Drosophila melanogaster: one gene and its partner. The protein of the gene in region 2 interacts with the protein of the main gene of each other region in a pairwise test. Each region holds a gene or a part of one and is shown on either strand. Other genes may lie near its edges.

What was found. Proteins that work in one complex are often made in the same cells at the same time.
Region 1: the proteins of CG9040 (region 2) and Tapdelta interact in a two-hybrid assay, tested with the Drosophila melanogaster proteins (one large-scale study listed by BioGRID).

Annotation. Positions count from the first base shown.
Region 1 is NT_033778.4:11,369,743-11,373,219, forward strand, and holds Tapdelta (Translocon-associated protein delta), read right to left. Parts: upstream 1,594-3,477; 5' UTR 1,271-1,593; coding exon 1,031-1,270; intron 972-1,030; coding exon 711-971; 3' UTR 558-710; downstream 1-557. Other genes in the region: CG13204 (uncharacterized protein), read left to right, coding at 1-494.
Region 2 is NT_037436.4:13,986,084-13,989,185, forward strand, and holds CG9040 (uncharacterized protein), read left to right. Parts: upstream 1-1,794; 5' UTR 1,795-1,858; coding exon 1,859-2,344; 3' UTR 2,345-2,543; downstream 2,544-3,102. Other genes in the region: CG17362 (uncharacterized protein), read left to right, coding at 572-1,033.

The DNA.
Region 1 (3,477 bases), on a different chromosome or scaffold from region 2:
TTCAACAGCAACAACAGCCGTCGCCCGCCAAAACGCGTAAGATTTGCGATCCGCGTTTTCCGAGCGATTGGGACGTCTCTGCCGTGCTACAGGCCAACAGAGAACTTGACGCAAACACTCTTTTCTTCTTGAGTCTGGCGCGGCAGGTGCGAGCTATGCCCATGAAATTCCAGTCGCTCGCCAAGATGCGTTGCATGCGAATCGTCAGTGATTTGGAGCTAGAGCTGGAGAACTTTGATTGCAACGGTGGAGCGCCACCGCCGGATGATTCAGGCGGAGGAGGAGCTGGGAATCTCAAGTACTGCAGCATAGATACTCCGCCACCGCCGCCGCAGGACGGCTCCGTGGTCATACCCCCGCCGCCAGTCGGCCCCGAGGGCTCCACGGAGCACTTTGTGTATGTGATGTCGCCGTCGCGTGTGGAGAGCATGATAGACATCTCCTCCGACGAGGAGGCGACCATGAATGGAGCGCCCTCCACGGGCCAGGTTTAAGCGTATTCGTACAAGTTATCTCTAAATTAAAATTAAATTAATCTCAACTAGGTTCCTTCGGTTGGTCTTTCAATCAGTTTATTTTGGAGCGGCGGGTGATCCGATGCTTAGGTGTACAAAATGTGGAAAAATCTCCGGGACCCGGCAATTTGATGGTACATGACTTTAGTGCGAATGAATTTCATTCAAAATCTCGATGACGAAGGCATCCTCTACTTAGGACTGCACCTTGCCCTTGGTGGTGAAGGCGAAGTATGCGAATCCGCCGACCAAGAAGGCGGCCAAAAGCTCAGCCTTGATCCAGGGACCCTTGTAGGCACCCTTGGTGGGCACGGAAATGTCGAGCAGCGACTTCACCGATGAAACCTTGTCGCCATCCCGCTGGGCCTTGCGCACATTGGCATAGCCATCCTCGTCGAAGAGACGCACCTGAACATTGCCGCTGCTGCCCTGCTTGATATCCTCCACCCAGCTCACCTAGTGCAGAACAGAGATTAGCCTTTGCACAAAACTTGACGGGGCTACTACTGGCTCACCTGGTACTTGTTGTCGCCCACCTTGGCCACCGGCACCACCTTGCCGCAGGGGAACTCGGCGAACAGGCTGGCGGGAGCGGCTCCGCTGCACTGCAGCGTGAACTCGCCCACATGGGCCAGCTGGGTCAGAATCGTGGCATCCTGGGTGCTGAAAGAGCTCACGGTGGCCTTGCAGCTACCGTAGACGCCGGACGCACAAACGGCGGCAATCAGGCAAATGGCGAACAGTTGACGGGACATCTTGATCAAGTTATGAGGTGGTTTTTATTTAGTAATCAATGGAATAGGCGGAACTCTACGGCTATCCAACTCGGCGACCTGCGACTTTCTTTCTCTCTGGAAGCGAACGCCACGACAGCACCATACATACGTCACGTCACTTGACAGCTACGAAAATTGCCGAAGTCGTACCAGTTCGATGGTCACACTGGTCGTGACCAGGGATGGCAACGCTCAGTCGAGAATAGCTACAAAATAGCTAGTAGCCCGTGGTAAATTTTTCCGATTTTTTACTTGTTATATCTAAAAATACAGTTTTAGAAAGCGGTTTTTTGTAGTTTCCTAATGACATCTATATGTTAAGATTTCTCCGGGAATGTTTGTCGTTCGAATATGATAGCAATTAGTACGTATACGTAAATGTTATAAAATTCATATAAAATTTGTATATACAAGTATTAAAAATAAGTGCGTATACATAAAAAATATAAAAATATGGGATTCATTTTATTTGGAATAAAGTTATTACTAATGATGTCAGTCCTGTCAAAATAAATCTTTCCTAATTATAGGGGCATTGAGATATGTAGACTTAATTTCCTCCCATATCAATTCAATTTCTAGCGATTTCAATTTCAAATATATAATTTGAAAATATCGAATTTTAAATAAAAAACAATTATATTAAAGTTAAATATTAATAAATTAAATTAAATTTATAAATAAAAATATAATGACAAATAGAATTCTTCACCAACAGGTTAAATTTTTGTAGTCTTACTTTGATTAAAAGACTAAAATTCTTATTAAATTATATTTATACAAAATTGTAATGTTTTAAGGAAAAATTGCTCAGCTATGATCGAGTACCGAATGCAATCCATCACTTTGGAGGATTCTGCTTTAGATCGCTATTGCGCTGATATTAAAAACATCAAAGTGAACTTTGATCAAATTGGTGGCTTAATTTGTACTTAGGCAAATACCCAAAGTTCCTTGTCTAAAACGTCTTTGAGGGGATTCCTTTTGCAATACATTTACGTTGGGCTGACTTCATTTAAAATATGTATGTAAGTATCTATTTAATTTAAAGTCAATAGATAAAGTCCAGGCCGTTCCAGTCACAGTAATTTCGTACCGACTGCATTTCTAATTAAAATAAGTTTTCGTCTGACAGTTTTGCTATGGTACCGTTCTGTGATCGGTTACGACTAAGTCCAATATTTATGGCACTTCGATTGCAATTGATTTCGAATTGCAGCAGTGTCAGAGGAAACGGGAGTCCTGTCCAATCGTTGGGGGAGTCTTCAAAGTCGGGCCATAAGCACCGAGTATTGACTGGTGGCAGTGATTAATGCCCATCCAACTGGAATGGGGCTTTCAGCTTTGTTTTAAGTACATTTTATTGGCAATCGGAAAATCGGATACTATCGTATAAATACTTTGGCTAACAGGCATACGAATGTATGCGGATGTGACCTTGAAGTGGGCCTGATTTGGTTTTGCTTTTTTTGTTTACGGTTTTATGCCATTTTGTGTTTGTGTTTGCCGCCACCGTTCGAATCGGCTCCATTTTGCTATGTTCGTTACTTTCCTTTGATTGCCACCGCGCACGGAACTTTTCCACCGAACTTTGCATGTCTTTGATGAATTTGAAATTGTCACAAATGTGAAAGTTTTTCACTTGCCATCCCATCCGGTTGCCCATCCGCAGATACAGATACTCATACTCATACTAATACCGGCAACAACTGAATTTGCATCTAACATTTTGCTGACATTGAGCGACTTGTACGCATTTCTCCTTCCTCCTCCTCCCCTCTTCTCACCACTCTGCCAGCCTTTTTCCTGCTTCTTTTTTTTGGCTACTATTCATTCATTCATGGCCGGATTTGCATATTTGCCAAAAATGCCGTAATCCTTTCGATTAAGAGGCGTTCGGTGGGTGATTCGCAAATGAAAACAAAAGTTCGTGCGGGTTCATTGAGTCGCAGTCGAAAACTTGCCAGACCCACCGGAATTGCACGTGTCTTTGGGGGAGGAGTGGGTTGATCCGGGGTTGGCAGGTGGATCGACGGATGCATTGGGCAAAATAAAGTGCACTCTGACCGGAAACGAAATTGGTACTTAGATTGCAAACATAGAAGCAGGCGCGATTGTGTATAAGCCAAATTTTGGCGTTCTATATTCTACAATATTTTAATTTTGGGAGTTTTTCAACAACTCGC
Region 2 (3,102 bases):
TTCCATGCAAACTGCAGATTTATGGCACGAACTTTGCGAATCTGGGTTGGTCCTCTTTCGGTCTGCCGCGGCTCGTTATCCCGAGCTGAAATTGCACGGAAAAAGGTCAAACATATAAATTTGTGCTTTCACTAAAATAACCATAAATAATATGAGTAGTGCGTGCCATCACATTAAATAATCACGTAGATTACGCGTTTGAAAACGTTTTCTGAAAGTGAACGCAATTTTAACTGCGTGTAGATAAAGTGGATCTATAAACGTTCGTTTTATATTGTAGACGACAAACAATATATTATTTTATTCCACAACATAAAACGTTATATATCTACTTGATTTATAAAAGTATTTACAGGTAACCACCAGGGGCTAATATTATTATCTAAAATTTCTAAAACAAATTGATAATCAAAAAAACATCTACACAGCTGGCCCAAAGTAAACGAATGTGTGTTTGTTTAATCATATTTACTTTTGATTCATGAAAAACGAGATTCGACTGATATGTTGGTATATAAACCAGAGGATTGAGCTTTCTTCGTTTAGATCACAAAATCTCCCCAAAACGAAAATGAAACTTCTTCTGGTTCTGGCATTGGCAGTCTTCGTAGCCCACGTGGCTGTGGCCCAGACAACTGATTCGTCTGACGATGGAGATTACTCTTACGATTACGCTGATGACAACGATACTGCCGGTAGCTCCGAAGACAACACTGCTGATTCTGGAGACACTAGTGATAGCTCCACTGACGTCGACAGTGGAAACGACTCTGGGGACGTCGATTCCTATGACGACTACGAGGGCTCTAGCGATGTTACGGAAGCACCAACTGCTGCTCCAGTTGTCAAAAAGAACAAAAGAGCTGGTGCCAGGAAAAACAACAGGAACAACAAGAATAAGGCAGCAGCTAAACGTCGCAATGCCGCCGCTGCCAAGAAAAGTAATAACAAGAAGGCGGCTAAGAAGCGAACACCTGTTGCCGCCAAGAAGCGGGCAAATGCTGGACCCAACAAACGTAGGCGCTCTGGATAAATCCAGTTTATTATATTCGTAGCTACAAATTATAAAAATAAAAAATTATACCAAAAAAATTTGTTCCCAAAATTACCAAGATTTTTTTCTATGACGTTTATAAGTTAGGTTTTGAATTAATATATAATAATGATAATGATATTTACCAAGAATGTGGTTGTTGGGTATGGGTGTTTATTATTATGAATTTTGTACAAAACTTGAATATCACAGAAATTTTGAAATATATTTAACTATTTCACCCAATGTTCAAAAGACAAGAAAACATTCTACATAAGTTTTTATCGGCACGTGTTTTTTCCCTCATTTGTAAATAAATATATTTTTGATAAACAAAAACATACACCGCATATACTTGAAAAATTATATAATTTTAAAGACGTTTAATGTCATATCTATTTTTTCTATAAAACTACTAGCAGGTCGCCTAACGCGTAAACCATAGACAAATTGTTCAAAAATCCAGATAAGACATTTGTGACCTTGGCTCTTTTAATATAAAAGAGTTTATATTACTTTTTCGTGCTCTAACACAAAATATAATTTCATAATTTCAACATATAGCAATCGAAAAATGTTAAACAAATACAAGCAGCACACACAGGTGCTCTAAGCCACCGAAAATTAAGACGATGAATTAAAAAACCAATATTTGCATTCTACAGATGTACATAGAAAAATAATGTAAAAAAGCTTTATATATTTATAAATTTCTTCAGAGGAGAAAAAACTATAAATACCCAGTGTTGAAGACTTTTAAACTCAGACGTTTATACCTAAGGTTACCTATCTGTTCGTTGACTCTATAGATACAAAAAAAAAAAGATGAGGCTGCTGTTGGTTTTAAGCCTGGCCATATTGGTTGCCTTCGTAACGGGTGCTGATGACACTGACGATGACTATTACGATTATTACGACTATGGTGATGACTACTATGACGACTCTGATGTAGAGTCCAGTTCGGAAAGTGGTGTTGGTGCATCCAGTAGCTCAGAAGATGATGCTAGTACCTCCGAGGACAGTTCCTCCGGCGAAGCTTCCGATACAGGTAGTTCTTCAGAAACTTCTGGAGATGGTTCCTCCGCCGAAACGACCTCCAGTTCAACTCCAACCAAGGCAGAAAAAGCCAAGAAAACTGCTGCACGCAGAGCTAGACGGCGCAGGCGCACCACCACCGCTGCTCCCAAACGCAAAGTAGCGGCAGCCGCGTCTGCCAAGAAGCAAACACCTGTTGCCCAAAAGAAGAAGACACCTGTGGCAGCCAAGAAGAAGGCGAATACTGCCGCCAACAAACGCAAACGCACAGGCTAAGCAGTTCGAAAAAAGGATAAATTCCCCATAGTCACTGAAAGTTTTTACATCAAACTTTTAAGAGGACCAAGAGACATCTTGTAGAATCTACATTAGTCTGGGAATATTTCATATGTTGTTTTCTGTACAAAAAATCCATATAAAAATACAAAGATAAGGAGACGTTTTGTAATTTACCAAAAATATACATTATTAATCCAAAATATACAACAATTTTGTATTTGAGGGCTTAAATGATCTTTCTTCGGAGAGAAACTAATCATTACAAATCGTTTCTGAATACTTAAAATCGAAAGCCAACTAAAAATCAAGTATTCCTTAAAAGGAAAAAAATTTTTTGAACGAAACATTCATTTAATAAACTGTTGTGGTTTATATACAAGTCTCTGCAGCCAGATTAGTATAAATCGTTCTAGTGGCGTAGTATTACCAAAGTCAGCTGCATTTTGCTGCATATTTTTAGGCGCCCACATTTACATTTACCAGCGCTTTGGCGCATTGTGTTTCTATTTAGACGTAAGCCAATAGCATCTATAAATAGTAATTATGCCCTCATACAAGTAGACATAAATGCACAGGGACACTTAATTACTGATGCGCACAGGCGACAATTGTTTAATGGCGAAAGGATAACGAAAAGGGAGGAGCCTGAGTAGCGCCATCGGCCACCACAATGGGACCATTGTTTTCGATTTCAATGCCGACATTCTGGCAGTGGCACTGCCAACAGAAATCCCGTGTATCCAGTGCACTGCGGC